3 linked regions of the Astyanax mexicanus genome follow. The protein of the gene in region 3 purifies or fractionates together with the protein of the main gene of each other region. This does not show direct contact. Links are inferred from orthologs where the notes say so. Each region holds a gene or a part of one and is shown on either strand. Other genes may lie near its edges.

Region 1 (11,122 bases), on a different chromosome or scaffold from region 3:
CTGCACTCAACCTTAGTGCTGGAGAATCTTCACTGAAAACTCACCCTTATAACACTGCAATTCAGGAGAGTGTCTTTACAGCTCCTTACAACCTGACTGGTAAAATTCATACATAAGAAGCACTGGATTATAAGGCGCACTCTCAATTTCTGGGTAAATTAAAGGATTTTAAGTGCACCTTATAGTCAGAAAAATACAATATTTCTAGAAAAAAAAATACAGTGGATTTCTTACCTGGTAGGCGTTGTTGTAGCCGGTGTGATCTAAATCATGACACACAGCTGAAGTCAGCATGATCAGGAGATCAACACTGTCAATCTTGCTCCTCAGATCCGTCAGCCATATCAGCCCATACATCTACCAACACAAAAAAAGCTCCTGATGCTGAGATCAGTGTACTAGGAACCTGTTTACACCTGGTTACTTCATGTGAGTAGTATCTGGATTGTATCCTGTAAAAGATTCTGACCACATGCATTTAAACTGCTCATGGAAGATAATGGCATTTCCAGTTATTGAGACTAAGATGGTCTGAATGAAAAGAATCGTATTCATGTTTGGTGTTTTTACACTCGCGTCTTTATCCATACTTTTCTCAGACCCTAATTTTTAGACTTTTTTTTTTTTAATTCAAATAATTTGAGGTTCCAAAGATTTTACACAAGTCTGCATTTCACCTTCTTAATCCATTGGGGATCATTAGTCAACCAGTCTTTATATTATATTACAATTACCCATTATTATGAGTTCTGTTAAAATCAATCTTGATTATTGATCCTAATACTTAATAGAAATATTGTTTAGTAATAAAGTTGTATTGAGAGGGACAGTGGCTCATTATAAGTCCCATTTTTATAGTGCTGTTTTTTTCCTCCTTCACATTGTATGTGTGCAGAGAATTGTCAGTAACCATGGGCTGCGAAGGATACATCAGTTGCGTCCTTGAAATCCAAACCATCACCTAATCAGGTATTAGTTTGCTATCAACCATAAACAAAAATAGCCATGCTTTTTTGTTGTGACTATATTTAACACAAATCAAGCAGTAGCTATCTAGTAGTTATCTATCAGGCAGTATGCCCTTTACTAATGCCTGGAAGGTCGAGTGGACAATTGAAGTACTTGTGGTCAAGCTGAGCTGATTGCAATGTCAATCCCTTTCTCTCTCTCTCTCTCTCTCTCTCTCATGCTCTCTCACCATCTGAGTGACACAGAAGCAGTGTTTGAAGTTGTGGAATGGGATGTTGTTGTAGCGCTTGTAGACCTCATAGAGAAACTGCTGCAGGACGTCCAGCTCTATGTTGAAGGTGGAGATGAAGTCCAGGTCTGTATACATCACCTGAAGCAGCACCATGATCTCTGCGTCCTCCCACTGCCTAAACACAGAGACATGCTTTTCACACTGTATGGACATTAGATGATTAATGAATTATCTGATGAGCTAAAAATGCTGCAAAAATTGGATTTTGATGCAAAAAATTTTTTTTAAATTGTATGTAGTAAATGTATGGTTAGTTTGTTGTGTCATTTTACCAAGGGCAATTATGGAAATGTTACAGATTATGATTAAAAACCAAAGCAAAAATTTTAATTATATAAGAAATTACAGTTATGTTTAGTAACAAGCTTTTGATTGGTGGAGACAGAAAAGAGGGGCATCAGTAGAGAAAAATATTAGTAAAAGGGAGGAGATGTGTTGGTTATGAACATGTAAGCAAGAAAAGGATTGTATTTTATAGGAAATAAGATTAACAGGCTTCAAACATGTTCCTCCTTCCAAAATCTTGTTATTTTCATAATGCCACTTAGTGGACATGGGTATTAAATCCATAACCTTGTGATTAATAACAAAATAAAAACCTACGATCTAACGTTACTTCATGAAATTTAAGCTTTTCCGGTTTCCCCACTTGTTTTGCTGCCCAGTTTTTCTGTATGTCTGTATGTGAGGAGGATCATTCTTTTCTTATCATTTTTAGTCCTGACCACAACATGATGCTTTGATTCCTGCATTCTGATTGAAGTTGCACGAGCTAAGATGTTCATGTTTTTGTCCCCTTCACGCATTGCCTTTATCACTCCAGCAGGCTTTAATAGTGTTCTTTGATAGAGACACAAACCTGACACACATTTACGTCCAAACAGTGTTTGCATCCGTGCAGAACCCTGTTTTGTTAATCTGAAAGGCCTGGGTTCAAAAACTAATCCAGAAGACCACTGCATAAATACAGTCTTCAAAGCATGAAGCCGAGTGCTCTGTTCTGAAGGACTGCTATTGATTTGTAAGCCCCTGGAACAACCATTCATATTGATATGAGTTCTTTTGGGCAGATGAAAGGACTGAATCTCCTCTGGCCTCTTTATGCACGGCAGAGGAGCTGCGCTTTCACTTCTGCAGCGAATGTTCATTTTGCTATAGCAGGTGCTCAGCTCATTTGTTGGACTTACATAGGCTAATGATGTTTAATATTTTAGCACCTTGTGCCTAGAGGGATATAATCATCCTTTATTAAATAAGTCATAGGAAATCATTGTCCCAAAAATAGTGAAATATAATGTAAAATAATTTATACTATGTGCACACTTGTGACTATGCTGATAGCAAGACTGTTCACTTTGCTTTTGGAGTTATTTATTCAGTGAATTGCTCTCACAATATGATTTCCTTTCCCATACCTCACCTTTCCACACCTCCCTGTACCTCAGTTTAATCTTCTCCCTGTACCTCAGTCCCATCATCTCCATGTACCTCAGTCCCATGTCCTACCTCCCCTCTCTACCTCAGTTCTATCTCATCCTGTACCTTGGTGTCATGTCCTACCTTCCCTTTCTAGCTCAGTTCTCCTCCCTGCACCTCACTGTAAGCTGAATTGTGTTGATGTTTAAGTTAAACTCACCAGTTGTCAAAGGTGGGTGTCTTCAGGTATTGTCTCACCTCCTCTGAGACCTCCAGAGTACTGTGTGAAGACATTTCAATAATGTTAAACTCACTTAACCAAAAACTCTGCGTAGTGCTGCAGAGCAGGGACTAAAAGTGAAGATTTGTAGCTCACCTCATCTGGAGGAACTTTTCCCGGACGTGCTCACACTCTTCACGTGTCTTGCGCAGCGTTCTCTTATGGTAGAACGGTGAAGGTTTATGGGGTCTCTCTGAGAGTTCTTTAAACAGCCCCAGCCAGCTCAGGTGCTCCACACTCTAAAGAGAACAGAAACTTATAAACACAACCAGGCAGAAAGAAAAGGGTGATTTCATTTAAAATGGTAAAAGAATTGCATAGACCTGGATTAAACTCCTAAAGGCCTGGACGGGGCCTACATTTCATTTTTTATTTACTCATTACTTATACATAGAAATAACTGTGTGGCAATGGGCAATGCTGCTCTATGCAGATTATGCAAACTGTGTGTATCTACACAGTTTGGTAGCATCATGTAATAGTGGAGGCCTAACCATGGGAAAGTATTTTGAAAAGACTAAATTGGGATGAAAATTATGTCAAATTAAATATGTCTTTACATATCCAAGACTTTTCAAAGTGGAAATGGTTCTTTGCCTGGTTGGAGTTCTTTACATTTGTGGGAAACTTTATTGTAACTGGATTGATTTTGGATGGTGCAAATGGAAGCTATGGTTTACTAGTCTGTCAAACCATTTAAATGATTATGGTTGAATTGATCACTTTAGATAAATATTGGCCAAAGAAAGACATTTCCAGATATATGTACAGATATGAGTTTACCTCCAGTTTTTCCCGGAACGACTCCACCTGTCTCTTCATCTCATAAACAATGGCCGGAGTCTCACTAGCTTCAGTAAGAATCTTCTTCTCCAGGCTTTGTAACCTGGTTGAGAAAGTGTACTTTCTAAGTTTATTTAAAAAGTACATGTCTGACAATATGTGGACTCAGATTATACACACAGTATGTCTACCTTTTCTCCATGGAGGACAAATCGAAGCCCAAGGCCACTGCCAGCTCTGTACCTGAAACATATCACAGCAATCGATTTCTCATATGAGTGAATTTTCTCCATATTGTCATTTCAATCATGAAGGACAGCTAGTTCTGCAGTTCACCAGCTTGTCTCCAGTTTTAATTCAGAGAATACCTAATGGCTCACTGTTGCAGTCTGCAGCAACCACCTCCAGCTTGTAGCAGGAATGAGGGCTGTTTGGGGTCAGCTGAGGGGAGATGTTGATGATGTTGCCTTTGGGGTTGTAGAGCTTTAGGATATCGTGAGGCCCAGCTTCAGCTGCTGATCGGAACAGATCTGTAGGAGAAACATTTACACACACACAAGGCTGGGAAAGGGTCATATGTACTGTATATTTACTAAAGATTATATAGCTGCTGCCAAAACAAATCCCAATTCTGTTGAGAAGGAAATTTCCAACCCATCCATTTCCAAACTATATTTTTCTGGTATTTTTCAAAGACATTTAATCTTGTGTTAAAACAACACTATATATATCAGTGTTTTTACCTTAAAAAAACAGCTTCAGAATCAAAGTGATACAAATAAAATAAAAATATGTCTCACTCTACCCCCTAAAGTGGTTTGATTAATTAGGTTTGTATCTGTTTTAAATATGTCTTGGGTAAGCTACACTTCATATGTATCTGGCTTGGCCTTTTTCAGACATATCCTGATACTTAAAGTGTACACACATTAATTGACCAATTGTGAGCAGTGTCTTATGTTGTGTTTGAATCTGTCTAGAACCCACGTGAACGTGGATGTGACTCCAGTTCTGAGGAGAACACCATGAAGTATGTTGTGCACTTGATGCAGAGCCTTGTCAGCTCCACCTGTGGCCCATTCTCTTCAACAAGATCTCTCTCTCTCTCTTTCTCTCTTACTCTCTTTCTTACTTTCTCCCACTCTCTCGCTCTGTCTTTCTCTTTCTGTCTTTCTTACTATTTCTCTTTCTTTCTAGGATAGGAAAATAGGAAAACACTGAGGACATCAATACAGGTACAGATGAAATTTATATATAAAGCTGGATACTACATGTTTTTTATGCTTTCAGCCTAATTGACAATTCTAAATAAATTCTCATCATAGTCCTGCTCACGTCATCACATTTATAGCAATAAGAGCCAGTACATGAATTTGCCTGACATTTAATGATATTTCTTCCAAACTACGGTTCGACCTTCGCTCCACTTCATTACGTTATTATTTATAAAACAACCTTCAATAATTCTAAATAAATAAATGAATTAAATGTGTCCTCACCTTTGACATCCTGTGCAGGACAGTCAACAGGGAACTCTGCTTGCTCTGGTCTTCCGTTCACTGTAAAATAAATGATTTTAGATTCCATGCCAGATGCTGACTCTCCCTCACTTCCTGCAGCTGAATGATCTGTTTACAGTGTGACATCTATTTAACAGAGGGCCACTTCACAACTCCTCCTCCTCTCCTGTCCCTCCTCCTCTACTGCCATCCCTCTCTCCTTTCTTAACCACCTGGACTGGGCTGCACCGTCTTGTTTATGTTCCATTTTAAATCTGTGTATACTGTCTAATGTATAGTGTCTGTAATAAGTCCTTAGTTAACATTGGCGAGTAGTTTCAATCTATCATTTTACTAAATGTGGTTGAACAATCTGTATGTTGTGTCTTAACTAGTAATGACTTTTACATGACAAAAGCAATTAAAATGCTTGATAATACTAGTATATACTGTTTACACTGGAAAATACTGTATTTACAGTACCAATTGACAATGCCAGTGAATATCAAAATAGCAATTTCTGCATAACAGGGTCCGTAACAATAGTATCAGCTAATACATTTGACAGAATGCTGTATGTTTTAGTGGATAATTTATGAGTTTGATATACTATAGTAGTATTTGTATAAACAGTGTAAAAGACATTTATTTGTTACACTTAAAAATGTATATTGTATGTATATTCTAATAATATCTGTACCAGAATATATATATATATATATATATATATATATATATATATATGTATATATCAAACTAATATTTAAGGTTCTGGTACAGATATTATTAGAATATACATACAATATACATTTTAAGAGCCAGTACATGAATAGAGCCAGTACATGAATTTGCCAGTACATGTATATATATATATATATATATATATATATATATATATATAGAGAGAGAGAGAGAGAAAATCCTAAAAGATGGCAGAAGCAACAAGCCCTGGGCCAATGTGGCGTAATTATAACAAATCTGTTCAAAAAGCCTTCCGCAGAGATGTACATACATTTTTACACAGGGCCAGGTTTGAATAGACATTCTCTCTCTCTCTCTCTCTCTCTCTACCCCCAGACAAAGACTGGTTATGAACTGAATGCAGGAAAGTACAACAACACTGTTATCAGAACCCCTCCCACTAGTTGCTGACACTAGAATATAACCAGACTAGAACGTGTTCAGCAGTATACATGCACACCACATTAGTTTTACTTTCAAATCATTAAAACAACACACCAAAATCTCAACCTATGCTTTATATTTGACAACATTATTTAACTGAACTGAGATTATTTAACTGAACAGAGTTTAATAAAGAGCATAATACAAAGTATTTCAGCATAAAATCACATATTTATAATGTGTGACAGTGCCATGTATCATTATTACATCTCTGCCGTTTGTAACAAACCAAACTCTTATAAGAAAAAATCCATTGATGGAATAACCTGGTCTATATTCAGTATATTCAGGTAGTCAGCTGACCTCATTCTTTCAGCACATACTGTTGCTGAACCCAGACCTAACCAACTGCAGCAACCCAACCCCACATAATTGATCCTTGGTTTAATCCAGGTGGCGACTTATTTTATTTGACTAGGCACGGTATATGACCAAATGAGCTGATTTTAGAGGACAGTGCTTTGTGCAGAGTCCTCCTTTCCAGATGGGGTCTCTGTATTTCAGTATTTGAGTCGATGGGGGACTTTTATTGTGAAATATTTCCGGTTTTCCGCCATGTGTTACGCTGCTGTTCTTCCTCAGTAGAAACGTGGTTGGTGGCGAAGCAGCGGGCTGTGTGTGTAAGTGTAGTTGTATAGTTTTTTTCTGTATTTGAGCTGTGTTTATATTAATCATGACTGAGGGCAAGAAGTCCTCCAAGACCAGCCCGAAGCTGCTCGCCCTGAACCCCGCGGAGGACGCCGAGTTTCAGAAGAAAATCCAGCAAGTGAAGGGTCGCCCCAGAGCGGTAACTATGCTACACTCTACTAATCCTCATGCTGTAGAGCAGCAGTGTTATTGCTGAGAGTTAATGAGTGAGGACTGTGTGAGATATCAGTAAAATGTTTAAATCTGCTCTGTTTGTGTCATGATGAAACTACCAGTGTGACTGATTTTCTGTTTTTTCCCTTTAATCCTCGTGTATTATAAATTCAATGCACTTTAACATGTGGAACACGTGGTAAATTAGCTTTAGCCCTGTTAAGTGCTTACAAACCTTTCTCAGGACCTTCAAAAAATTAGTTTTAATTCTCTATGACACGGTGTTGTCGTTATTGCATTGTCCTTTTAATGCGTTTTCTATTGTTACTGAGGCTATATTGTTTAAAACAATTATTTTTATTTTCATTTTATCAACCTACTAACATTATTTTACCGGACAAATATGAAAATCTGCCATATTGGTTTTGTTTTAGGAAACAAAATAATGTAACTCATCCATACTTATTTATTTTGTATGTATTAACTTTAATTGTTATAATTCAGAGTATTTAGTGTAAATCAGATTTTTTCTGTTCATTTTATGTAGCTTTACCTGTTATGGTGCGTCATAAACTATACACTGACAATAGAGATATTACAAAAAGTGTGTGTGTGTGTGTTGTGGGAGGTCTCAATAGCCATGTAAATTCTAAAAATATTCATTGTGCAGCTTCCATAGGTTTGTTAGGGTTGGATTAACCGCAAAAAAGTTCCTTAAGGATCTAACCGTATTTAACCGTAGTTTATGTAGCCATTTATGTTTGATTGTATGTGTCTTGTTTAACCCTCCTGTTCTGTTTTTCCTCTCAGACCCTGAAGCCTGGAGTGGTATATGTGGGCCACATTCCCCAGGCCTTGGCTGAACCGCAGCTTAGACCTTACTTTTCACAGTTTGGCAAAGTTACAAGGTTACGATTGTCCAGAAGTAAAAAGGTGAACTTTTTTTTTTTAATTCAAACAGGTTTCCTTTATTTATTTATTTTTATTGTAGTAATATTTACTTTGATTGTATGCATGAAGGGTCATGTTTTCTAGAAATAATTCATTTCAGACTGAGATAAAATGTGTAAATGTGTTTAATTTCCTTATTGTGTCCTAAGGAGATGATAAAAGAAGTTAAATAAGATGAATAGGTAAATAGTAGTAGGGTTCTGGATATAGGCATATTCTGAAAATTACCTTCAGCATGGCCGTTGCTGTGGGTAAGATAATTGTGCCAACAGAAACGTGGTACATTTAGCTTATTGCCAGATGATATAGCTGTGCAATGAAACCCATGTGCCTACAGGCTAAAAAGCTGTGGATGTTTCTGCAGCTGTGTCAATCACAATTGATTAAATAATTTTGACTGATCTTGCTCTTTTTCATTCTTAGACTGGCCGGAGTAAAGGCTATGCCTTTGTGGAGTTTGACTGTGATGAGGTTGCCAAGATTGTGGCTGAGACCATGAACAACTACCTTATTGGGGAGAGGCTGATCAAATGTGAGTAAAGTAAATTAATTTAATTTGTTTTTTTTGTTTTTTTCTTTGTTACGGTGGTGCAGTATAATGCCAGTGTTAAAATGTCTTGTTTACTTATAATATAATATTTTGAACAGGTCACCTGATTCCTCCAGAGAAGGTCCATGAAAAACTTTTTGTTGGTTCTCAGAGGATTTTTAAAAAGCCCAGACTTCCTGCAGTTGCACGGTACAATAAAAGTCACAGCTCAGAAGATCTGAAGAAAGTTACAGGGAAACTTCTAAGAAAAGAATCCAAGCTTCGCAAGAGACTGGCAGAGAAGGGCATTGACTATGACTTTCCAGGATTCGTAAGTTTTCTTGTTTTCTATATGTCTTATAACATTTCGTATATTTTGCGTGTTGGACTAAATCAATAATGCTGCTACACTTTTTGTTCTGTTCTTTTACAGGCAGCTCAAGTTCCTGCGAAGAAAGCTCAGTCAGGTGCTGACACATCAGTCTGTAGTGAGGTGAGCTCTGATGTGGAACAATTATAGAGATGTTTAATGATGTAAAGAAACATATTTCAAGGCACAGTCTGAAAATTACTCCAGTTGTCTTAGTTTTCTGGAGTAAGATAACTGTGCCAACATAAAATTGGTACATTTAGCTTATTGTCAGCTTATATAGCTGCACAATGAAACCCATGTGCCTACACCCTACTGCTTATGTGTTCCTACTTATCCTGTCATTATGTATGTTAGCATATTATGGTGTTTTTAACACCTTCATTTTTAAGTCTGGTTAAATTGATCTTTGGTTTACCTTTAAGTTTGAACCAAACCGCTCTGAAGGTGCAGTATCACCTACATTTCCCAGATATTTACTACAGCTATAAACAAATGCACTGTCTGCCATTGTTCCATGTTGAATTACACAGATGTAATAACAATCAATACAGTAATTTGTCACAAAATAAACCTTAACTACATAGCTGTATTTATTTTTTCTTTCCATTTAAATATCCATCTCTTCTTAAATAAACAAAAAATGTCTCACAAATGAAACATAACCAGAATTACCATCAATAATTAATCCTAGTAAAGGTCATGATTGATTTTTTTTTTATTTCCCAAAGTCTCAGATCAGGACTCTGTATAACAATTTAAATTAAATTATATTTAATTTGTATAACAAATTATACTGGCAAAAGAAAATGTAAAGTTAGGAAAATCAGAATAAAATGACACCGAATGAAAATAAATACATCGGTGCATGACTAATTGGATTGTGTGTATTGTTCCTCAAATACATGTAATATGGCATTGTTTAGGTCATAAAATTATCAGAAATATTGGATTTAATTTGTAACAGTTCAGCAGAATATTTGATTAATGATTTGTCTGTTTTACAGGACGCCACCCCAGTATGTACCCCTTCAATCCTGGAGAGAAGAAAGTCAATAAGAGTAGAGGATGATGACGTTGATGATGAGATTGTCCTCAAAACACAGTCGGTGAAGAGTGAAGATGTTGAAGGCTGTGAAGAGGACACTGAGGAGGAAGAAGAGGAACAGGCAGAAGCAGAGGGAGCATCGGATGATGTGGAGGGTTGAACCTCTCTTCTGTTCTTTAGGACTGTATTAGTTCTTTGGGGAGAAACATCTTCCTAAACTACTAAGCTTTCATGATTTGTATATAAGACTTTCTCAGTTCATCACACAGATGGACAGATAGAGAAAACGCACAGCTGATGCCCTCATTGAGACTTGAGGAACTGTTTCAGCATTTGTGCATATATTGTGCATTACATTTGCTTGTAATGCAGATGTTATATATATGTGTGGCTCTGTTCTGGCTGTGGTTTAGCATTTAGTTGCTTTGCTTTGTGTAAAGCAGACTAGAGCTTTACAGAGTCATGTTGAGCTGTATAATACACACAGGACTATGTATCACCTGAATAAAATGTGTGTGAGTTTTCTTCCCTAAATAATTTTGCTCCACAGCAGTAGAATGAGGGATAAATCACAAATATGGAAAAGCAAAAATTGTGCTTGTGTCCGAATGGTTGTTAAATATATACCTGTTAATAAAGTTATGCAGGAGAAGTCTGAAGTGGACTTGGTTTGTAGTGAAACATGATATCGAGTACAAACATTTGTTGAATAGCCCACCTCTGAAATACAGCACTTTTAGCCAAAGTTCCCTATTTTTACACCATTAACAACAAGCTCATTAAGTAGCTCCGCACTTCATTGGTAGATTTGAGTGTCTCGACATTTAAAAAAAGGCACTGAGAGCTTTAAAAGTGCACAGATAGTTTATTAAAAACACTGTAAACACAGTAGCTTGAGGTAGTTAGTTGGTAGCGCCATCTTACAATTGTCACAATATGTTGGCTTATGAGCACAAACAAACAGGATAGGGTAACGAAATGCAGTGTTGAATAGAAATG
Region 2 (10,775 bases), on a different chromosome or scaffold from region 3:
CTTTCTCCAGTAACAGAAACTGCACACAAAAAGAAGACTGATAAGTTACTGGTGGATTGGACGAGGATGGTGTTTTGCCACTGTTGGACTGCAGTGGAGTCCAAGATTCAGCTTAAACAAATGTCCACAAATGTCTTGTTTAGTGTAAATGAAAAGAAATTAGACTAAATGAGACTACACTAACCTTAAAAAGCGTTATCGGGTGAACTGCAGCTCCACGTGCCTGGCCATCCTCCGAACAGCCGCAGCACTGAGAGTAGAACTCCTTGATCCCAGGCATCGACAGCAGCATCACCTACAAGAGCAATAAGAAATGACAGGGTCAAATACGTAACATGTAAAGTTAATCAAATATTGTCACATAAAAAAGATAGGTTGAAATTATGGTGTGATGTTTCCATAAGTAGTGAACAGCTGGTTTGCATGGATACTGCTGAACATGTTCCAGTCTGGTTGTATACTACTGTCACCAACTAGTGGGAGGAGCCCCTTTGAGGGGATTCTGATAACAGTGTTGTACTTTCCTGAACTGAACGTCAAAGAATGCTTTATAGTTTTGCTTTAAGTACCTTAACAGAAAAGCCGCTGTCAGCAGAGTCTGTGGACTCAGAAGTGTCCATTGTCGTCTCAGGCTGGCTCGTGCCCACGTGGAAAATGCATGGTCCTGCGAGGGGCAGCGGCTGGCTGGGAGGGAAACCCTCTGGCCAGCAGAGCTGCACGTGAAATAGCGAGGGCGGGGCGTGGAGGTGCGGATACCGGCGCTGCAGTTCCAGACTATCCAACGCCTGGCTGAAAGTGAGAAATACAGGAATAAATCTGTTTATTTCTCAAAACAAACACACTCTATACCTACAGCATTTTTATCAATAAGCAAAGGTTTGATTTGATGTCCTGTAATCAGACTAACCTGTCTCGTGGAAAACAGGAGAAGAGCGGGACGCTCTGAGTGGCTACTGGGCTGCTCTTCTTTGGTGCTTCTTCTTCAGGAGTAGCTTTCCATCGTCGCCTCTTTAGGTGTGTGTTGTCGCCTCCCCAAGAACTTCCACCTTCCTCCCTGAGTTGTGGTACAAAGAGCAACAAACACATTGAGTGGGTTACCAATATCAAATTTAATTTACGTTAAACGGATGAAGCTTTTTGTCTGTACTCCCTGTACACTTGTATTTGTGTATATTCTCTGAAAGGTTATGTACAGTGGGGAAAATAATCATTTGCTATTGTGTTTTGTAAGTTTACGCCAATCTAAAGACATCTTTTTTTATTTTAGTAGTAATAGACAGAAATTCAACAAAATCCAGAACAAAATAATTAAATAAAAATATAAATTTATTTGTATTGATTAGGTCAAAAAAAAGTATTTGATACTCAAGCCAAACTACATGATTTACAACATGATTTAATGTACTTCTTAAGTTGCGTTTTGTTGTACTGGCTGTAAGTTTTGGGTCATTGTCATGCTGAAAGACCCACCCACGACTCATCTTTAGTGTTCTTCAGGAGATTCTCATTTAAATTTCCAGTTTACAAAATTAACAAGGGATCAAATAAATACTACGCAATATTTTTGTATATGGATGGAAAGAAGCAGCCTCACTGATTATACACTGGCAGTATAATGCAGTGCAATGGCTCAAGCAAAACAGGACCACTAATGTATTGAAAAAATGGTTTACACCATTTGCACCACTGTGTACACCACTACCTGAATAATTATCATTGGCTTATCTAACTAACACTCTTTTTGGAAACCTAATCAGTGTTTAGGATGCATAGTTGTTTGTGGGCAGTGATGGTAATTACATTTAAAATGGACATTCATTTTCATGAAGTAAAATGACAAAATGTATTTAAAATTCCTTACTGTAAATTAGATAGAATATAAACAAAAATATCTTAAACCTGAACTAAGCCTGAAATAATCAGAAATACCTAGAGAAGCAAACGGCCTTAGATTAAAACAAATACATAAACAAACCCAATGAACTCCTCTTGGTCAGTGGGAAAAAAGTAAGCAATGAAAGACAAGAAAAATGTATTTTGAAGCATTTATAACTCTGTGTTGTAACTCTGTGACTCACCAGCGTCCACCTCTTCTTCCTCCCACCGGCTCAGCGTGCCTTTTCCTGCTCCCGCCCCAACCATCAAACGGCCCCGCCCACGGCATCTGCTGGTGATGGGGCATCTGGTGCATCCCACCTAAAACGCACCAGCCAGATTCAGTAAAATCAGGATATACTTACGCCACTGAATTCAGAATTACAATCAGAATGAGGTCGGTATTCATCACTGACCTGGGTTTGGTTGCATAGTAGGAATTAGAGGAGGAATTTTGGGGGATTTGAGAAGAGGCTGAGGTTTGTTTCCCAAAATGCCCGGCTTCATGTTCGCAGACATGGATGGTAACAGTGGAGGTGGAGACTTAAATGGCTGAATGAGTAAACAGCAAAATGAACACAATACAGACTGCATTTAATAGAGAACACCACAATTAACATGATGTGGGTGTCTTTTATACTTTAAAAAAAATGATACCAGTATAATAAAAAACAATTTTAAATCACAAAATATACAAAAAAAAACTGCAACATACCTGCCCATTAAGAGCCTGCACCCTTTGAGCAGTCCAGCTGAGAGGCTGCAGAGAATCCTGGACTGCTTTCACCAACACCTTTTCACCAACCAAGGGCACCCTCCCTACAACAACACTGGAGCAGAGAAAATAGACTGTGAGCACCTAGTCATACCACACGTCACGCTCTTATGCTGTTCACTGTAGTCTAAATTATGAATTCCCGAACCCAGTGCACAGGAATCCACACCAGGGCTGGGAATCGAAATTCGAGGCCAAAAATGTACAGACTGAAAGGACTGTAAAAACAACTGAGTCCCATACTTTGGTATTGGATACAAGGTATGGTATTGGTATAAACATTTTTAAAACCTATTACAACCTCCGTGTCCAGCCCATAAGGTGCTTGATAAATTAGCTGAATTAATTAGAGACACAGTACAGTGTAGGGTCAACAGAGCCAGAACTCATCACTACCTGACCTGGAGAGAACAGGAAAAACTAGACTGACCTTATAGGAAAGCGCACCTCCTGGTCCACCATCCCATGATGGTCCTGTAGCTGTGTAACAACTCCGGTGAAGACCCGCTGCCTCATCTAAGAAAACATCCATTCATTCATTCATTCAGCATTTGATGTTTCATAGTCAGACTCAATTATCATTCCAATTTTAATTCTTAGAGTGACCACAGAAGGCACACTCAGGTAATTCCCCCCCCCCCCATTTTATTTTAAAAGACACAGTAAAACAAGTTAGCTACAGTTTGTTCCAACCAATTGTTTTTTTTATTAATAGGTAATGCTATGCCCCATCACTAGCATTGTAAACCTGTTGGGTGCGTCAGCTAAAAGTGCTGTATTTCAAAATGCTGGGGGAGAACAGAGGTGGGCTATTCAATAAAACTTTGTACTCGTTATCATGTTTCACTAAACCCCGACTTCATTTCACACCAGATTTCTCCTTTAAGTCAGTGAAACAGACTCCATGCAACCAGTCAACACACATTTAGATAACAAATCAGTCTTAAAGGAACAGCCCACATTTTTTCGTGATATAATTATAATTGTAGGATATTGCTAATTTAGATAAGGTATGTTACCACCAGGCTGATATAACATTATATTATACACTATAACAGTATAATATACAGACAATGATAACGTTAGCTAGTTAGGTAGCTAGCTGTGTGTTTTGTATGAAGCACTGCAAAAACAAGCTTGATCTCAGAATTAAGGACAAAATTCTATCATTTACACAACTATTTTGCAGAGAGTTGTTTGATTAGAAAAGCTGTTAGAATCCTAATTGTAGGATAATGGTCATTTAAGAGCCTACATAAGAATGTCACTATGCGGATATAACATTTATATAAAATAGGTAATGGTTAATATTCCTACACATCTATAGATTACCTCTAAAAAGTTGAGTTTGTTGAAATAAACATATGGCTGGGGTTGAGACAATAATTACGATAGCTAGCTTAGTTAGCCTAGTTAACCTGTGTGTTGTGTATGGAGCACTGCAAAAACAGGCTTAGTATCCGAGTAAAGGACACAATTCTGGTATAACAAACCCCTTCTGCAGATCTGTGTTCAGTAAATATATATATTATTGTGTCTAATTTACGGCTTGTAAGCACTGAAATCCCGCTATGTCTCTCAGCTTGAACCCGGTGATCCATGGCTAGCTAGCTAGCTAGCTGGGTATTAGCTAGCTAAGCTAAGCTAGCTAACTAATATCATAATGTATCTTAGCTTAGTTTACCCAGCTAACTGTAGGAATATTAGTAATACTAGCGCAACACTGCTGCTACCAACTCGCCAGAAAACACGTCCACTAAACGCTACAGCTGTTTATTCTCTCCTTAAACGTTATTTATTCTGTTAATATGATGTTTTAGTGTTTAATCGCAGGCTCACCTCAGGTTTGTGTGTAGCGTTTTGTGGTCTTCGTCGTCTGCTGCTGGGGCGGTACTGCGGCAGGGTGACACCGCCAGGGCGCAGTGCTGCTGCCACCTCGCGGCCGGAGCGGAGCTGCGCTAAAGTCGCAGCATGATCTGCCGCGGTTCTGGATCTACTGATCATTAGAATAAATAAAAAAATAATTAATTAATTAAAATAAACAAAATAAATGAATAATAATACAGCGCTTGGTCAAAATAGTGCAAATGTTTTACGCCACAGGAGAGCAAAACCACTTCTTGTAGGGCTGGTGAAAAATAATGAATCTCAGTATTATTTAAATGTAGGAATTACTATTACTCAATTACTGTTTAGAGCAGTTCAAATTCAAATTCAAAACTTACTTTTTTAAATTAGTAAACAGGCAGCACCCTTTAAAGTGATGCACAAGCACACGTTTCCTAAGGATTGTTTTATGAGATGGTACATCATTATTATGAGATAGTAAGTCATAATAATGAGATACTAAGATGTCTGTGGGTATTATCATAATTATGACTTAGTATCATTTAATAATAACTTACTAGTGGCAGAACTAGTGAATGGAACTGCAATATGTTAACATATAATAATTTCAAGAATATAAGAATACAACAAAAAAATACAAGCAATACAAAAAAATATGTTCTTTAGAGTATGATTAATTCCAAATTTCTTGTTTTTCAAAAGGGTATGAATCCTTTGTTATGCTATTCCATTAGCATTATGTCAGTTGCACTTAAAATGATAACAATATTGTTTAGCACAATAATTTCTGGGACAATAAATCGTCCACACCAATATTGTGACAGGGCTAGGAAAAAAATAACTATATATCTATCATTAGAACATATCATGGAATGATTAATAACCCCAGACTAATAAAATTGTTTTTTTTTAAAATATTTTTTAAAGGACTAATGTTATGTTCTGTATGTGTAACTGCGCAGCGCCACCAGGCGGGGTCGCTGTTTGTTTCTCTGCCGCGTCTCGAGCCTCATTACTCCGCTCCTCGCGGACCCACGTGGGCAGGAGAGAAAGATGGCAGACGACAGGCTCTGTTTCCACGAGATGGGTTTGGATGATCGTCTTTTAAAGGTATTTATCTCTGTCTGATCAACGCGGTACCGGTGTGTGAAATGCGGATGTGTGTAAACAGATAATACCGTAATAAAAACGTAATAATCAGCTTAAATTCAGCCTTTAATCACCGCGCTGTTTACTGCACCATGTCCGAGAACAGAGGCGCAGAGCCAATATTCCCAATAAAAGCAGAAATCTTCAGTTTAATCGATTTCTCGTAAAGATATACCCCTCCAATCCATAAATAATAAATGATTAAACATTTTAGGTTATGTATTTATGCTTCTGTAAAGTGTTTGTGTTGTGTAATCATACTTACAGCGCCAGTACTCTACCAGAATATTAAAGTAAACATAGGTTTGTCACAATAACACATAACTGTTTTTGTGTTGATAATATATTGTCTCATAAATATTGTCGTTAAATGATAATAATGTCAATTTAAGACAAATGTAACCCCCAGAAATATTGCTAGTGTAATAGCATAATAATACAATGACAGGTGTAATAATCAGTGTAAGAGTAATGAGCTTTTAATTGTGAATATTATACAGGCTTTGTAATTAAAGTATCCTAAAAGAAAATATAAAATCAGAAATTTAATGAGCGATATAAAGGTCAGCAAAAATTAGAAGTCCACATATTGTACAATAATCAATAATGTAATTACTAAGACAGACCTACACCTTATTTAATAATAATAAAAAAAGTCCAGCATAAAAAACAGTGTTTTAAAAATGTTTTCATCCACACAAGTTTAATAACACTTCTTGTAGGACTGAATCGTATTGTAAAAACGTTTTAACTTTTAATATAAGTCTATTTCAAGTTACTTTGGAACACTTCTATTTGTAAATTATTTATGAAAGTTTAATACAATAGAAAAAAAACAAGTCTTTGTATGTTTTTGATAGCGTTAAACATTGTAAAAAGCATTACATGAATTGGCTAAAGTAGAATATATCTATTTAAAGTTCTGAAAAGCTTAGTATTTCATTACAAGTATATAAATTCAGCATTTATAATATATTGTAGCATTCTCACTGCCTTTACGTGTTCCTTTAACCCTGTCAGGCGATCGCAGACCTGGGCTGGGCTCAGCCGACCCTCATTCAGGAGAAAGCCGTTCCTCTGGCTCTGGAGGGAAAGGATCTTTTGGCCAGAGCTCGAACCGGTTCAGGAAAAACAGCGGCTTACGCCATTCCTGTTATCCAGCAGATCCTCACCTCTAAACAGGTAATACCTGACCATGTGACTTGTGACACTTTCCCTTTCCAGATGATTATACCAATACCTGCAGAGCCTATCAAATAAAATTATCAAATAAATACACATATATTACGAATTTTAAAACATTTTACAATCTGAGCTGACTTCAAAAAATGTACTAAATGGATATTAAAATTCAAAATAAATCTGTATGTATTTTTATGGAGCAGGCCGTGCCCTGATAATCCACCAGAGGGTGGTTTCTACTTTCTGTAATAAATTATTATTTATTTGTCATTTTATTTGAGATAATAAGTTTTGATCAATGGCTGTCTTTTTTTTGTTGTGTGTTAGACTGTGCAGGGGGAGCAGGCGGTCAGAGCTCTGATTCTGGTTCCTACTAAAGAACTGGGACATCAGGTGCAGACAATGATCCGGCAGCTCACTGCATACTGCGCTAAAGATGTTCGGGTGGCAGATATCTCAGGAAAAACTGAATTATCTGCACAGAAGTGAGAACACTTTTAATAATACCATTGATTAGAATAATGTGATCAATTTGGTGCTCGGGATGTAGATGTATAGTTGATAACTGTGATAATTGTGTGCATTTTTATGCGTGTTTTTGTACTTTAGGCCCATTCTAATGGAAAAGCCTGATATTGTGGTGGGAACTCCATCGCGAGTGCAGGTCCACATTTCTGCTCAGAACCTGGTGCTGCACTCGTCTCTGGAGATGCTGGTCATTGATGAGGCTGATCTTCTGTTCTCTTTCGGTTTTGAGGCTGATCTTAAAAACCTCATCTGGTGAGTGTTTCAGACTTTATTATTATACAACAATTAACAGTATTTATTTATTGTATTGGAGACTTATTGGACACTAGACAGGGGCTTATGTGTCATGCTGTGCACCACAATGTAGACATTCGCTTTCATGTGATTGGATGAGTAAAGATATTTCTATCTCGTTAACACTATATCACCACTGTTAAACATGGTGGTGGTAGCAGCAGCAACATGTTGTGATGTTGTTTTAGCTTGTGGAATAAATGTTTCTTTACCATAACATTAGAAAAATTTGGACACAGTTATGGAGCATGCTTAAATGTCAGAAAACCAAAACATTTACTGTATTTTTTGCACTATAATGTGCACCTAAAATTCTTAAATTTTCCCAAAATTGTCAGAGTAAAGAAAAAAATAATTGTATGTATAGATTTTACTAGGAGCAGTAAAGCCACTCTGCTGAAGTACAGAGTTATACAGGAGTTTCAGTTTAGTTTCTTCAGCACCGAGACTGAAGCAGTATTAGCATTAGCTGCTAGCCTTGATAAGTGCTAGCTCTTTTGCTGTTCAGATAAACAGTTTATTATTATTCTTCCCCCACAGTCACTTACCCAAGATCTACCAAGCTTTCCTGATGTCTGCTACTCTCAGTGATGACGTTCAGGCCTTGAAAGAGTTGGTTCTGCACAATCCAGTAAGTACAGAAACACACATTTCACAGTTTTAGTACCGTTCTTGCTTTAGCATGAACCTTTTCTCATGTAGAGAAACAACCGTGGAAATGAGATTGCTTGTCTGTATACACGGACAATTCTAGCCAGAAGCCGCCTGTCACGATCATTACCATCATTACCACCCACCACGCTGTCTTTGACCAATTTTTAAGATTTAATTTTAGCTGTTAATAATCCAGTTGCCTCTCCTCCTGTTCTGTGTAGGTGACCCTGAAGCTGGAAGGCTCGAACCTGCCGGGCAGCGCTCAGCTGCAGCAGTACACGGTGAAATGTGAGGAGGACGAAAAGTTCCTGGTGATTTACGCTCTCCTCAAACTGGGCCTGGTCCGCGGCAAGACCCTCATCTTCGTGGGCACGCTGGACCGCTGCTACAAACTCAAGCTCTTCCTGGAGCAGTTCGGCATTCCTGCCTGCGTGCTGAACTCTGAGCTGCCCGTTCACTCCAGGCAAGTACTTAAAATTTTTATAAACATTTCCTAACCTTTAAAAAAATGCTTAAAAAAGTTTCTGCCTCTGCAGCTCCTCTCAGGTACAGCTGTGCTATAGGAGAGGATGATGTTTCTGCGTACTTTGGTACGCAGACACATCACAATATGCAGATCAGTTAATCAATAATACTGTCCAACCATCTGCATCTCCTTGCTATCAGAAGCACACTGCTGCAGCTCAGCCAATCAGCTCTCCCTTCTGCCCTGCGTCTAAACCCATACATCACTCAGTGCCTCTCACAAACTACCCCTCCCGTTTTTTGTTTTTCTTTGGGATGGGACTAAAGTGCTACTGGACAATTATCATTACGCCTCAGTCCACATGCTTCTTTCATTTTCAGCGATTCTTCTGTGTGTCTCAGCTTGTCCAGAAATGCATGTGTAAAGTGTGAATCAAATTGCAAACAGGAAATTCTCTGACCACAGGAGATTCTCTCACAAATACTGTACTTATGACTCCCCTGTGTGTTATTAGAATCCATATTATGAATTAATGCCAAGCTTATTCAAACAGATGTTGAGCTATTTGTGTACATAATGTTTTAATGTTTGGATGTTCTGTTTATCTTCTAGGTGTCACATCATCTCACAGTTTAACCAGGGATTTTATGATTACATCATCGCTACAGACGAGCAGGTGCTCAGTATCCCATCAGCCTCCTCTCAGAGCGCCGAGGACAAAGGAAAGAAAAAGAAGAAGAAGAAGAATGGGAAGAATAAAACGTACGGTTTGAACATCTATCTCAATATAAGACCCTAAGGTGTGAAATAGTGGCAGCACCTTAGACCTCTGGACCACTCAGAGCCCAAAGCCTCTGGTTTGGAGTGTCCTATTACTATTGGCCATATAATGTATTTTATACACAGTTCATCTCTTTCCTAAAATATGCATTGAGATAATAATGAAACGAATGTAATTATTTTTTTAATAAGCTGAATTTATTTAAATCTAACCTTTTGAGTTTGTATTGTTGTTTTCAGGGGTAAAGATAAAGAATACGGCGTGTCCAGAGGGGTCGATTTCCAGAACGTGGCGAATGTGATCAACTTTGATTTTCCCACATCTGTTGAATCTTATATCCACAGAGTTGGCAGGTAAACATTAATCCTTTTTAATTTCTCTTTTACATCCAGATGATATTTATAATTATTCATATTTAATGCTATAATAAATCATTGCTCGTATATTTTGGCAGGACGGCTCGAGCAGACAACCGTGGCACCGCCCTGTCCTTCGTCGCCCATTCAGAGCTGTCTGTGCTGGAAGAGGTTGAAGCTTCTCTTACTGGAGGTATTTAATACTATATATATATATATATATATATATATATATATATATATATAAGATTATTTTACATAATTACTTGAATTCAGATGTAAGAGTAAAATGGAAGTTCTGGACTTTTTTTTTTTATGTGTTTTTGCCTGGATATCTAACCTTTACCACCAATGACCAGATTTGACAATCTGAAATTAAAAAAAAAATTGACTATTAAGCAGCCAGCAAATATCTTTAATCGTAATCGATTTTGCAATTGACATGAATCAATCACCCACTGAACTTTATTCTCTGTTCATGTTCAGACAATGCAGACTGCGCACTGAAGCCATATGCATTCAAAATGGAGGAAATCCAGGGATTTAAATACAGATGTCAGGTATGAAGTCTACAGTCAATATTCATTAAATTATTTTTTTTAGTTTCATATTTTCTGTATTGAGTACCAGACACTGCTGCTTACACTCTTATGGTAGGAACGAGTTAGGAATGACTCCACCCTCTGCTCAAATTTGGGGCACTGGGTGATGTATGGGTTTAGGGGCGGGTCATGAGGAAGAGCTGGGCTGATTGTCAGCAGGGAGGCGGGATTATTCATTGACTGACTGATTTGCCTATAGCACAGTTGAACCTGAGAGGGCGCTGCAGAGGCAGAAATTACAACAATAAAAGCATTTTTTAAAGTT
Region 3 (10,493 bases):
AGCAGGCAGAAGTCTGGATCTTCAGACTGGGTTTTACCCAGGTAAGTAAAAATATATATTTTTTTTCTAAGGAACATTTAATATAGTCTCAAAATATGTCTTTTTGAGATTGTGGTCTGTAGGGAAAAAACACGCTTGTAAGTTAAGCAGCACTGCACACGCCCCCATGGGATCACGTGTCTCAGGCAATTCAACAGTCAGTCCTGCTTTACAGCAAATACCAGCCCAGACAAGAGTGAGAGGCAGGCTAGTTTGTTAGCTAGTTAGCACTGTGTACTAGAATCAAAGAATCCCCCCATCTCCATCTATACACAAATGTAAAGAGAGTGTTGAAAAGGTGCAGGAGTTTGTTTTTACTTCTGTGTCCAAATCATATATCTGAACCATATATAAGCTTCACTGCCTACTTCATTCACCATGATTGGAATGTGTCTAATGACTTCTCAGCTGTGCAGACTACAATAAGTCTTTACCACTAGGAGGACAGAGCACTCTAATTGTAGGTGTGATTATATTTTCTCACAAAAACACTTACTGGCAAATGCACTCTTACCTCTGTACATTAGTTTTGACAATGTATTTTAATTATTCACTTGATAAAACCATATTGCCTCAATATACAGATAAAGATACACTGTCTCGATCTCTGTGTAGATGCTAAGGTTTTGTAGTTTTTATTCGTTTTTATATATTTTTTAAAGCTTAGTTTTAGTTTAGTTTTATTAGTTTTAGTTTTTTTTTGCACTTTGTGTTATTTGTCAGATGCAGGAGTCAAAAAGGTCAGAGTAAGTATTGTGTAATAAAAACTTATCAAAAGATAGCATTTAAAAACAAACTCAAATTGAATTACACAGAGAGAGGGGTGGGGATGAGAGAGAGAGAGGGTGATTGATAGAAACTAATCCATCCTCCTCATGGTGCACCTGTGTAGTAGCTAATTACCTCCTATTTCTTTTTCCAGTGAAATGTCATTGTTGGAGACCACTATGTGCTCCTCACCTCACTGAGCGATTATTCTTCATTCGTCTTGGACCTACTGCTACTGCTTGTGAAGGAAAGGTAAGTAGGGAAGGCTGTGGTGTAGTATTAACAAGCTATATGAAGAACAGATAACTGCACTGTAACCTACATTCGTTCCCTGTTAAAAGATTGAGAAAAATGTTTTATTTAAGATGGTGTTTGATGGTCAAGGTGGTTGACCAGTTTCATCAAAGAACACATAGTGTGGACAACCATCTACTTTTCGAATTAAACATGCTAATACCGTTCGACTGCAATGACAATGTGCCCTGCTTACTGTGCTGCAGTCCAAAGATGTTGATTCAGTGTGTAGTAGCATTAGATTACATTTAGCAATATATTTATTTTGACAGTCTATAGGTAAAGATACACTCGCTCTCTGTTTAGATTCATGTGTTGTTTTTTATTCATTCGAAAATAATTGCATATATGGTAGTCATGAACATGGGTAATTACTGATGGGACAATATTTCCAGAAGCCCCCAGTGCAAACACTGCCTCTGCTTGCACTTTGCCTTGTATGTATGTCATGTCAAGAATAATGTGTACTGTCTTTCTTCTTCTTCTTCCTTTTTTTTTAGCTGGTTCCTGGTTAGATCACCATGGAGTCCTTAAACATTCGCCTGCAGTGTGAAAGCACTTTTCTAGATGGTTCAGATATTTGGACCAATTACAGGAAGCAGAGGCAGAAAACAAACCAGAGGAAGAAAGGATTGGTGCTGTACTGAAATCTGACTCCCCTCGGCGTGCAGGCGCGTCACGCAACATTATAGGACACAAGCACACTGGGATATAATTTATTAACTGTAACAATATACTAAGTCTTACTTATACACAGAAATAAAATAAATCTAATGAGAATTTGTTACACTCATTCTGCTGCGGCAGATTTATCACATCACAGCAACTCGCCGAACACCTATCATTCTATAAACCAATTAATATAGAGTATAGAGAGACGCAGCCCACGTAGCTGATGATGAGAGGACATAGTAAAGTTCTTTTGTCCGCTTACTAAACTGCAGTGTGAAATGAAACCTAACCGGACCAAAAGGTACAGTGTAGCAAACACATGAACGTTGGTTCAGACCATGGTCCGGACTTTCAGGTATGAAAGCACCCTTAGTTTCATTCAATCACAGGACAGCTACTAATCATATAAAATATTGGTCCTTCATAATAGAAATGTACTATTGAGAGTTGTACAAGTGTCTGTGTTGCTTTTAAGGTGAGGAAACTGTCCACTGATCAAGGATTATAAAATGATTAACACAATCTGCATTTTTAAAAAGATAAGTTTGATTCTCTAAATGTACAGCTGAAATGCACTGATTGTCTTTGTAAAGATAATAACAAAGCAGTATGTCTCATGTTGAATGTTATAATGACAATAAAAACTATCACCCAATAAACTATGTTTAGTAGTTTTTTGTCTCCCCAAAGAGCAGCTAACCTGTAACCATAATATGTTTTAAAACAAGTACTGCTGTTATTTTTGGCTGTTTCTATAAGTTGGTCAGTACTGAATGTATTTATTAAGTTGAGAAAAAGCCTAACTTAAAAACTTAGAAATTTCTAAGAATAGAATGTTTTATGCAATGTGTGTTTTGTTATCTGTGAAATATATTTGACACTTCTGACCAAACCTTTATGGGTTTTTCTTTTTTTTTTCTGGCAAGCAAAAGTGAAATACTTTTTTGTAATTCCTGCTATGATACACACAAGATACACTTGAACTGTTTTGACCTCAGGTTGGCTTAATGCCATTTTTATAAGTGCAGTATTTGTATAGTTTTGATAAGCTATTGGTGATGGTACAAGATGTTACAATTTAGACAATGAAAATGTGATGCTTGCACAGTGAAAACACTTAATATCAATATTCACATGATAAATTGTAAAAAAAAAAAAAAAAAAAAAAACATTGACTAGCATTAAACTCACAAGTAATGTCATTTGGTTTGTAGCCTAATTAAATCTAAATCTAGCCTGTTTTGGGGCTTGAAAAAGAGCAGCCCCATTCCATTTCTGAGAAAGGAAAGATATGGAAAGGCAAAGGAAAATACCCACGTCTAGTCTGTGTGATGGGCTGCTCCCCAACCACTCTGTAATGTGAAAATCAACAGTGTTTTAATCAGCTGCACCTGCTCCATGGATAAAACCACATCTAATCGTTCTAAGGTAACGTCCTGTGTACGTTCTGTTTGGGCGAGAATAGGACCTGCTGCGTACGTTACCGAACGTCCTATAAAGGGGTGTTTGGGAACGTTATGTATGGACGAGAACAGGACCTGCTGCGGACGTTACCGAACGTCCTATAAAGGGGTGTTTGGGAACGTTATGTATGGACGAGAATAGGACCTGCTGCAAACGTTACCGAACGTCCTATAAAGGGGTGTTTGGGGAACGTTATGTATGGACGAGAATAGGACCTGCTGCGAACGTTACCGAACGTCCTCTAAAGGGGTGTTAGGGAACGTTTCATTTGGACGGTAATAGGACCTGATGCGGACGTCAGTTTGGTCCTACAAACGTCCTATAGAGAACGTTACAAAAATGCCCAAACAGGGACGTCCGCGAACGTCCCCGGGACGTTCCTTGTTTGCTGGGATTATGACAATTTTATTGTCTTAATAAAGTTATTATTATACTCAGTTTAAGTCTGTTTATGTTGATTGTGTAAGTGTAAACATAAAGCCCATGTATTGTTAAAGTCAGAGCTAAATATGAGTGATATTTTGTCCTCATAATTATTATAGCTAATTAAGTTATTAAGTTTCTCTGTTTTAATTTTGTCCAATTTGGAGTGCCTACATATAGGTTACGCAATCTTGTGTGGAATATTTACCATGTAAATGTCTATGTGTTTTTCAGCCTAGTGTTTACATTCTGCTCAGTTTAAGTCTGTTTTATTCATGTGTTAGGATAGCCTTTATTAATTATTTATTTACACATTTAGGACTTAATAAGTCACAGCTTAAAACAAAAGAATATGTGTCCGTAAATTTAAAATAAAGAGAAAAAATAAATAAACAAGCAATGTAAAAAGGAGAGAAGGTCACATTTTTTTATTGCCATGGCAACCATAATAAATATAAAATATTGCACCAAAGTTATAATATGATGTACATCATACGTATCGCATATTTGAGGTGAATAGTTAATTCTGGTGTGTTTGAGTAAGTGTAAAAGTAAATCCCACGTAAGCCTAGAAATGTCTACATAGACCATCAGTCTATCGAGGCACAAATACCTAAAATGTGTACTACCCTGTGTTCAAATTAAAGTTTTTTTTTTTGTCCTAAACAACCGAAATACCTCCTAAAACCATAGACTGTATATAGCTGGACAGAGGGTCGTCTCTCAAAAGTGAAGCCACCACAGGTCGGGCGCCCCCTGCTGTTCGGCTGCAGAAAGCCGTGTAACTCCACCCATTCCCATAGGTTTCAATGGCAAAACAGACAACTTTCAATCACGTTTTTTTCTAATATACTGTAAATCTACCTCCAATATTTTAATGCAACAGCTAGTGTAACCTCTGCTTATATTGTCAAATGTTTATATCCCCACAGAATTCGGTGTTTAAAACGTTATTCAGCTCTATTAAAAAAAGGTGTGGTTATTGTAAAAGGGCTGCTTATGGGCGGGACCATTAACAGACCGTCAGCTCCGTTCCGCCCCACTCGCGAGGCAGCCCTCAGGGGCGGGGTTATTCAAATGAGTAGGCTGCTCTCCACAGTCTTTCTCCCTCCTCTGGACTCTACTGCGCAGAATCAGGTGGCAGGATCGCCAACATGGCGGAAGATTTTGGCTTCATTTTCATTGAATGAATGGGAACGGAGATACGGAGTCCATCTTTTTTTACAGTCTCTGCCTAAAACTATTAAAGTGTAGCCAGTATAGCAATCGCTAAGAAAACCGAAGCAAGTGTCAACGCATGCGCAGAGTGCCACTGGCCTGAAACTGCTGGCTTAAATTCGTGGCTTTGCAGACAGACCCTTCTCGATTTGACAGCTGTGCACAAGTTGATTGACGGGTCGCCTGACAGCATGAACGCGTACCGCTGTCTCATAAGGAGCGGAGTTTATAGCGGGCATCTGTCTGACCTTCGTTTTTTTCTGTTTAAATTGATATTCCTGAAGTAAAACAGTGGCTTGTTCTAACAGTTCTAACAGACCCTCAGGTAAAGGTCCTGTTTTTTTTAGTAAGTATTTAGTAAGTTTCATTTCGGTCCATCAATTCATTAGTATACTTCGTCCATCGCTCTTCATTTTTAGCACAATAAGATAAGATAGTATCCTTTAATAATAATCCTTTATTAGTCAGTCACACTGTGGGGAAATCCACAGTATTACAGTAGCAAAGGGACAGCAAGGCATTCAGTAAAAAAAAGTGCAGCAGGATATCACAAGTGAAAAATACCACACCTTGATGTAGACAAGTATTCAGACACTACGCTGCCTTCTAAGTGAGATCGTGTGAAATGCATCAAGTTAGCATTTAGTGTATTTCGGACACAGAATATAACCATCTCAACACAAAGACAGCTAGCTTTGTTCATTCCCCTACATTGGCAGTTCTTTATTGGTGTTTGTGGGTGATGGCAGACAGTATAATGTTGCATGCAGGTCCTGCTTCATTGCTGCATCGAGCTCGAGGCTCCTCAGATGTCCGGGATCGTAGCTGAATCATATTGGGCAGGTATACAGGTCTGGTTGAAGGTGATGTCAGTGAGGGGTCTCTCAGCTGTGCTGCTGCGGTGTTGTTGTATGATCAGCAGGGGGCAGGTCTGAGTATCTGAGTAGTGAGGATCTGTGTGTGTGTAGAAGAAGAGCGGGAGGTTAGAGGCGGAGCTCGAGCGCGTTACTGCTTCCTTTTCCACAGTGGCAGTCAGAGAGACACCATGAAGGCGTCTGGCACAGTACGTACACATCACTTTTATACCCTTATTTACGGCGCTAGCCGCCTCTACTCACTTTATTATCTTATATAAGGTACTGATGTGTCGGCTGGGAGCCGGGCGGGCCGCTCGGGTTCGGTTTAAATGGGTTTTTTATAGTTTGATAATAGCGGGGCTGTGCGCGAGGACCAACATGGCGGCCGGCAGCGCTTGTGAAGACCATGCGGTGCGCGCGGCCGCTTTGTGCGCGTAGAGCCGACGAACAGACTGCGATTATTTTACCATTACTGTGGCGTCCGGTCCTGTAGAGAGCAGATCTGTGCTTTATAATCACTGTTTACCCCCGGGTAGATGAACCGTCCGGTGGTGGACGGAGTACTGGCGCTGTCTCTGGCCTGCTTTACTGATTACCCATACAGCTAACGAGCTAAGCTAACCAACTTACTGCTACAACATGAACAGATAGATAACTGTATACTACATTTATAATCAGATTAACACGTGTTTATAGTTATACGCACACTTGTACCTACTTACGCACTGTATGTATGTAATGTATGTCTGTGTCACTGATGGAAAGTGGTCTAGTTGCCTGTATAAGCTGTATTTGGTTCTTTCTAATAGTATTGGTGAAGGTCTGAGACTTACTGAACTGTTTAAACACAGCGAAAAATTATTTGCACACAAACCCAAAGATCATTATGTTCATGTGTAATGATCTTGCTATGTGTGCGCAAAGGAAAAAAAGAACCTTGTCGCCTTCCATAAGCTTGTACTGTGCCAATGGAAGTGAATTCAAGGTTCAACACCGTGAACTTTTTAAGGGTTACTCAGGAATTCGCACTTATCTCTACCCTAAACTTTTTTTCTTTTGCCCAATCTAGCAAATAATTCAGTGTGCATGGGTGGGGAAATAAAGTTATTTTTAAGCATCTGTATAATTTCAACTACGAGGGAGGAAAAAATATATTTTGAAAGCTTAGGCATCCCTGTGGATGTAGTAAATATATAAACTTTTTTTTTTTTTTTTTAATCGTTTGAAGCTGAAGCGCCCACAACATGCTGGAGTGTTTTAGGTACATGGGCACTGAATAAAAAAGTCAAGTTTACAACAAAAATATAGTAAGAAAAATCAGACAAAATGCTTATATATATTACACATATAGCTACATATTTTATTTATGACCCACTTGTACATTTTATTGTATTTGTAGATATGCTCTTAAGTTAGATAAAATCAACAAATGAATACATGTAAAATATGTCAATTTTTTGTTGTAACCTCATCACTGATTTATTGTGTACAGGCTTTGTGAAGTAGGATGGTTCTCAATTTAGTTTTTTTGAAATTCAGATTAAAACTAGTATGTAAACACCTCTTACCCGCATGAGTTTAGAATGAAGGCAGATTGGGTTCCTTTTACTAGCGCAGTACTACTCTTTGATTAGTCTAAATGACCGAAAGATATCTTTACAAATCTGTTTATTTTGCAGGTATAGTTAAGCTTATTTATAATAACTCCTAGAATAGTGGTTGGAAAGGCTGAGCTTTTGCAGGGTGGAAAATCTGTGTACATGAAATACATGCAGATTAAAATCCATGCCTGACTGCTCTTTCTCTTTTTGCCTTTTATTTTCTTTTAGCTTAGGGAGTACAAAGTTGTTGGGCGTCTCTTGCCCTCTGCCAAGAACCCAACTCCTCCTCTGTATCGCATGAGGATTTTCGCCCCCAACCATGTGGTGGCCAAGTCTCGCTTCTGGTACTTCGTCTCTCAGCTGAGGAAGATGAAGAAGGCATCTGGAGAGACTGTGTACTGTGGCCTGGTAAGTTTACAACTTTGCAATATTGATAGTGATAAATGTAGGGTGTTCTCAACTCTCTGTACAGAGGGCTGCATTTTTTATCTTAAATTATTAGTCTCTCTATGAAATCCAATATGACACTTACTTCATTGCACAACATTAACAAACACCTGCTTTGATTTAAGTGTTTAGAGCTTACCTTGTAATGGAATATACATGGTGCCTCTTTTACAGTAACTGAGGAGACTTGGCAAGGTGTTAAAAAATTTCACAAATGTGTTATTTTATCTCTAGGTTCATGAGAAGACTCCTCTGAAAGTAAAGAACTTTGGCATCTGGCTGCGCTATGACTCACGTAGTGGCACCCACAACATGTACCGCGAGTACAGAGACCTGACCACCTCTGGAGCAGTCACCCAGTGCTGTGAGTGCCAACACACAATACCACCACACCTAAGATTCCTGTCTTAAGTTCTGCAAATAGTATTGGTGGATGGCTTATGAATGATTCACATTTTTTTTCAAGAGAAAGCATGAAAATGAGTTGCACACAAACCCAAAGGTCATTATATTCATGTGTAATGTTCTTGCTATGTGTGCGCAAAGAAAAATCCAAGGACCTTGTCGCCTTTCATACGCTCTTATGTGCCAATGGAAGTGAATTCAAGGTTCAACATGTCAAACTGCCATTTTTACTCCTGCAGATTTTTGCTTCATTAATTTTAGTCCTGTTAACCCCATACTGCACATTTGTGTACATTTGCCTTATCTAGCAGCTAATTGAGTCTTGTGAAGTTAGTCATCCTGTGCTTGGTCAGGGAAATTAATTGTGCAGAGTATGGGTTCTCCTAGGAACAGGAGTGCCCTGTTTTAGTTAGTTGTTAGCTTGGGTAGTGTCATAATGAAATCTAGCAATTTTGTTTTTAATCTCAACAGTGATTTATACACTAACTTGGATAATAGGGTTATTTGATTTGTCTGATCCGTCTGATCCAAAATTGCGTCTCAGCTAGCTAACCGTTTTGCCCCATGTTTTGATTTTCAGACCGTGATATGGGAGCTCGTCACCGTGCACGTGCCCATGCTATTCAGATCATGAAGGTGCAGGTGATCGCTGCTAACAAATGTCGTAGACCTGCCATCAAGCAGTTCCATGTAAGTATTTCTTTTTTTTTCCTCTCCTTTCCCCCTTATACCCAACTGTCTACTGAGTTCTTACTTGGAGTTGGCTCTAAGCAGCAGGTCTCTCACTGTACTGGTCCCTTATGGCCAGCTCTGGTAAAAAGCCTGCAAGAATAAACAGCTGGATTCCTCTTCCAGATAAAGTCTACTGTCTTTAAATCTGGCGGCTTTGAACACTGGCAACATCCTCTTAAGTCTCAAGAACTGATGGCTTTTAATTTACTGTGACCATTTGTTAACCTGGCTCTTGTCTCTATTTAACAGGACTCCAAGATCAAGTTCCCCCTGCCCCACAGGGTTCTGCGCCAGCAGCACAAGCCCCGCTTCACCACCAGGAGACCAAACACATTCTTCTAAATTGTATGTTCTTGCTGTTAAGATTGCTGGGGAATTAAAGAAATATGACACAACTAAAGCTTTGTCTGAATTAATTATATGTAAAACTAGCTAACTTTAATGAAGTTAAACCAGCAGCAAGCAATATATCGGTGCATGATTTAATGGGTCCTTACTATGCAGATTTAAGCTTTATTTATGTCTTAGATTATTTAAATTATGCATTTTTGCTAAGTGACAGCCATTCGTGTCTAAGTTCTTGTTTTAAAACAAAAAAATAATTACTTCAGTTTGTAAGGGTTTTTTAACTCAGCCAGCCCAAAAATTTCACCTGAAAGTGAATGCTAAATTGCTTACAAGCTCATGTTCCTGCTTCTTTATGCTGGTTTTACAGGTAATTTGTGTTAAACAGACTACACAAATTGTTGCCACTGAGCAGCAATTCCTGTTAGTATGGCAGTTTCACCCCAAACTTGAGGGTTTCTTCAGAGCAACTGCAACAACTAAAATAAAATTTATGGGAAAACATAAAATGCAAATTTAAGTGCCCCAACCACAGTCTTCCTACACATTTTAATGAAAAATAAATACTTTGTATTCTAAATGTTGTAGAGTTACAGAAAATTTATTCAAATGGTTAATTTGGGGATTCCATAAGAGAACCACTTTTACTTTCATTAAGAACTACAGTGGGGGGGAAAAAGTTTTTGATGCACTGCTAAATTTTTCTACCTACCAAAGAAGGGAGAGGGCTGTAATTATTTTCCTAAGCACACTTAAACTGTAAACAATAAAAAAAATCCAGAAAATACCGATACAGATCTTGTCCAGATCCTTTGGGTTTGGGGCTCTGTTTGGGCAACTTTGACTTTCAGATCCCTCCAAAGATCTATTGGTTTTAGATCTGGAGGCTGGCTAGGCCACTCCAGGACATTAATGCTTCTTATGGAGATATTTCTTAGTTGCACTGGCTGTGTTTTGGGTTATTGTCATGCTGGAACACCCAGCCACAACCCATCTTCAATGCTCTTGCTGTACTGAGGGAATGAGGTCCAAATTATTGCGATATATGAACCCATCTATCCTCTTCAATATGGTGCAGTGGTTGTGGCGTTTATCGCCGCTAATAATCACTCCAAATCGTCAGGCAGGTTGTAAACAAAGCATTGCTCTTTATTGAATACCAGGCGCGAGCCTCCCAGCTCGCGAACGGGTGAATAAAGTCTGATTCACACATGCGCAGTAGGCACTT

Evidence for each region.
Region 1: the proteins of rpl18a (region 3) and nifk fractionate together in Homo sapiens (co-fractionation; 3 studies listed by BioGRID and IntAct, with this or other methods). This does not show direct contact. The link is inferred for Astyanax mexicanus from reciprocal best matches to the Homo sapiens genes RPL18A and NIFK.
Region 2: the proteins of rpl18a (region 3) and ddx56 purify together in Homo sapiens (affinity purification with mass spectrometry; 3 studies listed by BioGRID and IntAct, counting the BioPlex papers as one, with this or other methods). This does not show direct contact. The link is inferred for Astyanax mexicanus from reciprocal best matches to the Homo sapiens genes RPL18A and DDX56.

The regions. Positions count from the first base shown.
Region 1 is NC_064418.1:8,214,742-8,225,863, reverse strand, and holds the start of nifk (MKI67 FHA domain-interacting nucleolar phosphoprotein), read left to right. Parts: upstream 1-6,705; 5' UTR 6,706-7,097; coding exon 7,098-7,211; intron 7,212-8,035; coding exon 8,036-8,158; intron 8,159-8,388; exon of another isoform or gene 8,389-8,515; intron 8,516-8,599; coding exon 8,600-8,708; intron 8,709-8,824; coding exon 8,825-9,036; intron 9,037-9,138; coding exon 9,139-9,198; intron 9,199-9,261; exon of another isoform or gene 9,262-9,388; intron 9,389-10,082; coding exon 10,083-10,283; 3' UTR 10,284-11,122. Other genes in the region: si:dkey-219c10.4 (high affinity cGMP-specific 3',5'-cyclic phosphodiesterase 9A), read right to left, coding at 235-357, 1,199-1,376, 2,898-2,957, 3,054-3,196, 3,741-3,843, 3,932-3,983, 4,109-4,270, 5,240-5,327.
Region 2 is NC_064427.1:2,359,433-2,370,207, forward strand, and holds the start of ddx56 (probable ATP-dependent RNA helicase DDX56), read left to right. Parts: upstream 1-5,483; 5' UTR 5,484-5,551; coding exon 5,552-5,608; intron 5,609-6,667; coding exon 6,668-6,829; intron 6,830-7,156; coding exon 7,157-7,314; intron 7,315-7,438; coding exon 7,439-7,609; intron 7,610-8,191; coding exon 8,192-8,282; intron 8,283-8,526; coding exon 8,527-8,768; intron 8,769-9,383; coding exon 9,384-9,533; intron 9,534-9,791; coding exon 9,792-9,905; intron 9,906-10,006; coding exon 10,007-10,101; intron 10,102-10,394; coding exon 10,395-10,468; intron 10,469-10,775. Other genes in the region: ccar2 (cell cycle and apoptosis regulator protein 2), read right to left, coding at 1-19, 185-295, 570-789, 908-1,054, 2,079-2,196, 2,292-2,427, 2,591-2,705, 3,081-3,166 and 1 more. UniProt on the Homo sapiens protein: Nucleolar RNA helicase that plays a role in various biological processes including innate immunity, ribosome biogenesis or nucleolus organization. Plays an essential role in maintaining nucleolar integrity in planarian stem cells.
Region 3 is NC_064409.1:44,637,356-44,647,848, forward strand, and holds rpl18a (60S ribosomal protein L18a), read left to right. Parts: upstream 1-5,792; 5' UTR 5,793-5,923; coding exon 5,924-5,941; intron 5,942-6,596; exon of another isoform or gene 6,597-6,731; intron 6,732-7,564; coding exon 7,565-7,744; intron 7,745-8,017; coding exon 8,018-8,147; intron 8,148-8,266; exon of another isoform or gene 8,267-8,402; intron 8,403-8,768; coding exon 8,769-8,878; intron 8,879-9,169; coding exon 9,170-9,262; 3' UTR 9,263-9,320; downstream 9,321-10,493.